Linked DNA regions of Neurospora crassa OR74A. Each later gene encodes a partner of the first gene's protein in a complex. Links are inferred from orthologs where the notes say so. Each region holds a gene or a part of one and is shown on either strand. Other genes may lie near its edges.

What was found. Proteins that work in one complex are often made in the same cells at the same time.
Region 2: the proteins of NCU07701 (region 1) and atg-8 are in contact, whole or in part, in a crystal structure (PDB 6AAF), measured with the Schizosaccharomyces pombe proteins. The link is inferred for Neurospora crassa OR74A from reciprocal best matches to the Schizosaccharomyces pombe genes hfl1 and atg8. Residues at the interface, in NP_593211.1 of Schizosaccharomyces pombe: Leu386, Gln387, Phe388, Glu389, Ile390, Asp391, Glu393, Met394, Glu395, Leu397, Tyr398, Gln400, Ala401, Lys402, Met404, Arg405, Tyr406, Gly407; in NP_596531.1 of Schizosaccharomyces pombe: Phe5, Phe9, Lys13, Glu17, Arg20, Ile21, Tyr25, Arg28, Val31, Ile32, Lys46, Lys48, Tyr49, Leu50, Val51, Pro52, Asp54, Leu55, Gly58, Gln59, Tyr62, Val63, Lys66, Arg67, Thr87, Phe104.

What each region holds. Positions count from the first base shown.
Region 1 is NC_026504.1:2,173,000-2,177,159, forward strand, and holds NCU07701 (DUF300 domain-containing protein), read left to right. Parts: upstream 1-1,360; 5' UTR 1,361-1,667; coding exon 1,668-1,753; intron 1,754-1,833; coding exon 1,834-1,851; intron 1,852-1,922; coding exon 1,923-1,976; intron 1,977-2,046; coding exon 2,047-3,133; intron 3,134-3,191; coding exon 3,192-3,737; 3' UTR 3,738-4,055; downstream 4,056-4,160. Other genes in the region: NCU07702 (hypothetical protein), read right to left, coding at 1-457, 531-577. UniProt on the Schizosaccharomyces pombe protein: Vacuole membrane protein that recruits ATG8 to facilitate the degradation of vacuolar integral membrane proteins during early-stationary vacuole turnover (EVT) when cells enter stationary phase.
Region 2 is NC_026502.1:3,123,300-3,126,554, forward strand, and holds atg-8 (autophagy protein 8), read left to right. Parts: upstream 1-1,375; 5' UTR 1,376-1,494; intron 1,495-1,613; 5' UTR 1,614-1,711; coding exon 1,712-1,801; intron 1,802-1,870; coding exon 1,871-2,088; intron 2,089-2,161; coding exon 2,162-2,219; 3' UTR 2,220-2,755; downstream 2,756-3,255. UniProt on the Schizosaccharomyces pombe protein: Ubiquitin-like modifier involved in autophagosome formation. With atg4, mediates the delivery of the autophagosomes to the vacuole via the microtubule cytoskeleton.

The DNA.
Region 1 (4,160 bases):
CGTCAAGCCAGACAGAATCGAATCATAAGCCGGACTACGATTGTAGATGAACCATTCTAGGCCAGACAGGCAAACACTGATGCGGCAAGGAAGTTTGGGTGTCGGCAGCTGTTCAGTGATGGGATCGGCGTCGGAACTGCTGTCGGTCTCGTTATGCCCTCGTGCGTCCTTCGCCGAGATCTTGACGCCCCGTACTCTGCGCAGCCAGTATTTCCATGTTATGTAGCCATTCTGGACCAGTATTGTTTCGTTCGCGCCGTGGTACCGAAGGCCAGTAAAGAACACGCGACCGCCGAGTAGAGAGATCTGGAGAGCCTGGATGTCGATGTAGACTTTGTACTGATGCCAGGTCCATGTCCGCAATGCCCACGACACCAGAGACGCAAAGACTCTGTTAAAATAAAGGAGGGAGAATATTGATAATGCGCCGCATATGATGAGAGATCCCAAGAAAAGGCTGTGAAGTTGGTCCGGCCAGGATTAGCAACAAGCGCAACGCATGACTGTCTGTCCGGTCTGGAGTCACTCACCCATTGAACCCCCCTTGGTCGTCAAAGAAGTTGTTTCGGATGGCCATCGTGTTTGAATATCAAGTCGCCAGACGTAGAGAAGTACTTCGCCGGCCAACATTCAACGTGGATTGGACAGTTTCCGTATGCGCCGTATATTCATGCCACTCTCCATGGTGCCGCTTGAAGCAAATCGAAAGAAGGCAAGATGTTGCGAAGAGGTCGACGTCGTCGCACGTCAACTAAAGAAAACAGAGCGCAGGAGCAAGCGACGACATGTCGAAGTTCACCAACTTCAAGATAGTGGGAGCTGTCACAGGTTCCCTTGACAATCGCAAGTGGTGGTAGAGGTACGTGGTACCTGCTTCCCTTTGCTAGGATGGCGGACGTAGAATTGCAGGTCGCTCCCAATTCCAACCTGAAGTCAATTTTAGGGGCGGGCTCTTGGAATTGGATAGAGCGACTGGAGCTGTGTAGGTAGGCAGACGAAGGTACATACTTGCTGCATAATAGTACACTATCTCTTGAGAGCGAGACGAACCTTGATGGGCAGGGGGGTTTGTCTGATTCCCGTCAAGTATATACACTGTATGGATCATCTAACTCACTCACTTTGTCCTGTCTTTAGAGATGGGTAAGACAGTGCAAACTTGGTATGCACAGTTGTTTCAAAACCCAGACCCCGTCGGTACTCTGGCATTCCAAGTTGCGGTTCCCAACGGCAATGGGGTGTCAAATACCCTAGCCGCCTAGGCTACAGGGCAGCGACGGCAGTAGTACCTAGCGTAGAGGTAGGTAGGTGTGTACATGTAGATGCCCGCCCACAGCCCAGCGTCATGCATGGCCTGCGGGCTCCTCCGACCGTCATCGTCACCTCCCCTCCCGATTGCCCAGACCACGAGACGTCGGGCCAACTACGACCTCCATCCCACCCAGATACCTATCTTTTCGTCGGTGACATCGCGATCCCGTTACCACCGTTAGGCTGCACCTGTTCCAGGTGCAATACCAGTGCGTCTTCGCTCCACCATGCCGGCGCAACATGCCATAGGTTGAACGGCTTTTACTCTACTTGCGATCAATAAGGCGTTGCCGCGCAGCTTTCGGGCCCCAAGTTCCGTCCAGATACCTCGTTGCCAGGATCCCGAGACAGAAAACATGGGAGGCACCGGCCAAAAGCTCGCCGATGTGGCAACCATAGTCGGAGGTGTCGCCTCTATTGTCGCGACTCTGCTCTCCATGGTGTATGTCTACCCTACAGATCCGCATCGTGTCGCAGCTCCAACTCCAGCGTCTGAATATCATGCTGACCAAGCTCTAACAGGTCAATATGGCTCCAAACGTGAGTTGCCCACCCATCGCCCGTGTCGCGAACGTCTTGCTCATCCAAGTCCGGCCATTGATATTCAGCAGTAAAAACTATCGCAAGCCGCTTTTGCAACGTTATGTTGTACGGATCCTCCTCATGTGAGTTTACCTGTTATCACCCTGTGGGACTGCTCTGTGGGCGGAATTCCTGATCATTCTCCATCTTCAGGGTTCCAATATACTCGATCGCCTCATGGACTAGCATGGTTTCACGGACCGCAGCAGCCTTTGTCGACCCCATCAGAGACATATACGAGGCTTTCACCATCTACACATTCTTCCAGCTGTTAATCAACTACTTGGGCGGAGAACGAGCCCTTATTATCATGACCCATGGTCGCGAGCCGATCCATCATCTCTGGCCGATGAACCACGTCCTCCCTCAAGTTGATATTTCCGATCCGCATACCTTCCTCGCCATAAAGCGGGGCATCTTGCAATATGCATGGATGAAGCCAATCTTGGCCTTAGCAGCTGTTATCATGAAAGCAACTGGGAGCTACCATGAGGGCGACATCAAACTTAACTCGGGCTATTTTTGGAGCGGCATTATCTACAACATCAGCGTCACAGTCAGCTTGTACTGTTTGGGCTTGTTCTGGGTATGCATGAACAACGACCTAAAGCCTTTCCGACCAATGCCCAAGTTCCTGTGTGTAAAGGCCATTATCTTTGCATCGTATTGGCAAGGCTTTGCCCTTGGAATTCTGGTGTTTCTCGGGGCTTTCCCGAATGTCGAAGGATACACACAAGACGGCCTTGCGGCAGCCATTCAGGACTTCCTGATCTGTCTCGAGATGCCAGCCTTTGCCATTGCTCACTGGTATGCCTTCTCTTGGCACGACTTTGCCGACAGCAGAGTGTCTGCCGCAAGAATGCCGGTCAAGTATGCGATGAGGGACGCCTTCGGGATTCGCGACTTGATCCAGGACTCCAAAGAAACTTTTACGGGTGACAAGTACGGTTACCGTGTCTTTGACTCGGGCGACAAGATCATGGCACATGAGCAGTCGCGGTCGAGACTGGCCAGACTTAAGGAAGGCATGCGATATGAGCGAGGAGGCAAGGGCAAATATTGGATACCAAGACCCGACGAAATCACTCAGAACACTCCGCTGTTGGGTGCAAACGGCGGCCCGAGCAGGAGGAGCAATTCGTCCTCTCCGCACCACGATGATGCTGACGAGGTTATACTTGATCCAGAGGAAGAACAACTCTACGCAGGAGCTAGGAAACTCGAGTTTGGTGACTGGAATGTAAGGAACTGCTTCATCGCTACATGGCACAATTGACATTGTCTGACTTTGTTTCTAGTATCCCGTCATTACAGCCAACGAGCCGTGGAAAGATCGTTATCGATCACCTCATCCTAGTCTCTTCCAAAACACTCCCACCGGGAGCTTTTACAATCGATCATCCTCAAGTAGAAGCTCAGTGCCCACGCTTAACCCCAGGGATCCTCTCGAAAGGCGCAAGAAGGAGGCACCAGAAGGCCCTGAAGCCCTTCCCAACGACAAGAAGGGCAAAAAGAAGGCAGACCCAAATGGTCAACGGGCCACGAACTCTACCCCAGACAAGGGCATGGATCCCTTGGAGATCGCATATGGCCCCATGATGGGCACGACCTCTAAACTTACAGAAGATGATTTCAGAGTCGACGATGTCAGCCCTCATCATCCGCACGGCACATCGCCCGGGCATGACACCTCACATGATCCTGAGGATGACGGAAAAGGTACACCGGTCACGGAAGTGTCTAACCACTGGGGTCATGCTACGGATACCGAAGGGGAGGAAGAGAGAAGCCCACACTTTACTGTTGGTGGTGAAGAGGAGTTTCAGAACGTGTGGGGAAGGTGACATTATCTTGCCTGAATCGCTGTTTTTGCTTTTGAGTTTTCTCCTTTGCTTTTTCGAGCTTCCGTGTTGCAGGAATTATTTCGGTGTCAAAGAGACCGTGGTATGGATGCATACACTACAACTACAGGTTCAATTAAGTTGTGCGGGCGTCGGACTGGCGTTGGCACAGGGCTTTTTGTTTATTTCGGTATAGCAAACCTGCAAGTAGAGCATTCGTAGACATTATCTTCATCTAAGCACACATATGGTACTCTTGTGTTGGTGTTGCGGTGTTGACAAAAAATTGACCTACCCTGTAGACATAAGTCTCTACCGCCGGTCTTTCTTTGCTTGCCCCTGAAGGAGCCCTGTTTGCTTTTTGGAGTGTCAAACAGTACACGAGAAAAGTCAATAGCATCGAATATCCTTGCCCAGTGAAGCGGT
Region 2 (3,255 bases), on another chromosome or scaffold:
GAAATCGAGAGCTTGGCCTCGGCGGGTAGTCTAGTCTTCGCTGGGTAATCGCCCTGCCTGCTGGGGATCTCGAGGAGGGATCCGCTTGCTTGTGGTGCCTCGGAGCCGAATTCTCTTCCACTGGTTGGATCAACTATCAACTACCTACACTACTAATGATGGAAAATGACGCTATACCCGGAACAGGCTGATAGACAGCTCCTTCTGTAACCACGCTGCCATCCATGATAGCGCAGTGCCGTATCCTGTGCGGGCAGCCCAAACGGAACATTCGCGGGGTGTTCCTTGCATTTCAACGGCTCCAGTGGATGGACGGGGAACCGGACCCTGAGGAGCGAGATGTCCACTTTTGGTGCTGCACGCACTCCGGGAGCGACCGGAAAAGCCACCTAGGCGGACACCGAAAACGGTACCTGATAATAAACACACGGGCCCAGGTCCCATTGATGGCGGGGCAAATGGTCAGCTCCGATCGGACTTCAGTTGTAGGGAGGCCCGGGAGGAGCTCCAGGATAAAGCTTCATTGCCGATAGGAGACTACTTATCATGGATAAGATATACCAAATGCGAACAAGCGGAGAGAATGACGACTTCGCAGTGGTGACATCCATGACCTGGTCCTCCGTAGGTCTTTAATAGTGTAGAGGTACCTAGGTAGACGGCAGGCGAACAAAGCGGTCAACAAGCTGCCCGTGCAAGTTCGAGACGCTGGCCAAGGCGATGGAACCGTCCACGCCCTTCTTAGTAAAATGCGGTCTACACACGTTCAACGAACCGGGAAGCCAAAGGATCACGGCCACGAGGCTGCCCTTGGAACGGAAAGGAGGTTTACAATGCGCCCTTCTTCGGGCCATCCTTTTGTCTTGTCCATGTGCCGCTGATACAAGTGGAAGGTATCATCAACCTAGGACTTGGTAATGTGTACTACAGTAGTGTACATGGAACGAGAGATAGGAGGCGGATACGGACCTAGTGCTGCGTCATTGCTAGGTACATACCTCCACGCCGCCCCACTGATGGCCAAGAGGTACCGTTCAGGTACCGCTCCTAGCTGAGTGCCGGGCACGCCTTCGCCTTGAAATGCCCCTGGAATGCCACTGAAAAGGCAGTGACCTGTTAAGCTTGACCATGTGAGCGACGGCCAGTGACCCATCTGATTCACCGACTGGGAGCGAGCTAAGCCCAATCGAGGATCGACTCTCGCTTTAGTCATCTGGTCAGCCCCGCCTCCGCCTGCTGGTCACCCGCTTAGTGTTCAGGTTGTCCTGGCGTGCCCGTCCAGGGCCTTTGACCCGTGCTGCGCAGACAGGCGGGCAGGCGCCAACTGGACGCGGCCGATAGGCAACACTGCCTGGCAACCTACCTACTAACATACCTTACATCGATGGTCAAAGAGGTACATCAACCCTTCTTCCCCCTCTTCATCCTCTTGCCGTTTCTTACCTCTGACATCTCTCCCCAGCTTCCTCATTTCATCACACGCCAGTCATCAAGGTATGTTCTGCATTTCCAGCCGGCCAACACTGATTCTGCTCCTTGTGGAAGCCATCCATGGTCCATCTCCCTTTCAATAGCCGCTTCTTCCGACTAACACCGGATTCCGTCTATCGCAGACATCGTCTTATCCATCCATCGTATCCACGCTTGTAGTCAATCTCAAAGCCAAACACCTATCACCGCATCTTCCACATTATCAACCCAAACCGCCAAAATGAGATCCAAGTTCAAGGACGAGCACCCCTTCGAGAAGCGCAAGGCTGAGGCCGAGCGTATTCGCCAAAAGTACTCCGACCGTATTCCCGTAAGCATCCCCCATCCGGACGATCCCGCAGTCACCGCCCTTATCCCTAACTAACACATGTCGCCACAGGTTATCTGCGAAAAGGTCGAGAAGAGTGATATCGCTACCATCGATAAGAAGAAGTACCTCGTACCGGCGGACCTCACCGTGGGCCAGTTCGTTTACGTCATCCGCAAGCGCATCAAGCTGTCGCCCGAGAAGGCCATCTTCATCTTCGTAGATGAGGTCCTTCCTCCAACCGCTGCTCTCATGAGCAGCATCTACGAGGAGCACAAGGATGAGGATGGGTACGTGGCAGCCTCCATCCCCCATCATTTTTTTTTCCAACTGTAACCCAGACTAACGTGACTACTACCACAGTTTCCTCTACATCACATACTCGGGCGAGAACACCTTCGGCGACTTCGAGACTGCGTAATCATATCCTCTCTATCGTTTTGCTTTAGACGTTGTGGGCGTTTTGGGATTCATACACGATTACTGGATCAATGAGCGGGTTGGTGGGCTGTGCATCATGTTGTTTCTGCTGGGTTTATATCCTTAGGGTCACGTTGGCTGAAGAGGGGGAGGGCTTGCTACGACAGAAGGGACGATGGGACTGTGCTGTTGGGGTCTGGACTTAGGTGCCACCTGCAGCCGTATGAAAGTGAAGTCCCCTTTACTTTGCTTCCCGGTGTGCTTTGGTCTAGAGACAGCATCATTTGCCGTTGGATTGCCCGGTTCACAAATCAATGTTACCCTCATTCTCTATGCCCTTTTTCACCACGCCGGTGACTTACATCCCTTGTTGAACCCCTCCGAACATGAACCTTGGATACATGGCCGCAATGGAGGCACATCACGAGGACGGTAGTTCCATACGTGGATATCACGAGGAAGCACGTAGCTTATAGAATATACGATAGGTATTACACGTATCCTAGCTGGGTATCGTTACACTGGTTGTCATGGTTGATGGTCTCTGTGTATAATGACGCTTGGTTAAATCCATTGTGTGTTGAGCTAACTGTTGGTCTTCCCAGTTCTTCTGAACCGATTTGATGAAATCACGGAGGACTCCTACGACAGTGTCGCCGTCGGTACAAACTCGCCAAACTCGTATATCCGATTCTGGCAGTCTTAGACCAACTTCATGCTTCGCCAATACAAGAAAGATGTGCCGACTACTTGGCATTGCATAGGTCTGCAGCCTAACCTCCAGGGGCAACTCCCAAGACACTCAAAGTAACCTGCCTCGGCGCATGACTGACACGTTTTCATCAACTTCCTCTGTCCTCTACAAAATTAACTTCACATCGCTGTTCAAACATTACATCAAATTTGATAGTTATATTGTCTTCTACTATAACCAGTCATCACAAAACTTCGTCTGATCATGATCATGTGGGGTCAAAACAATGGGCTGTGGCTGCAGCAATAACTGAAACAACAAAGGGCTATACGTGCGGGATGAG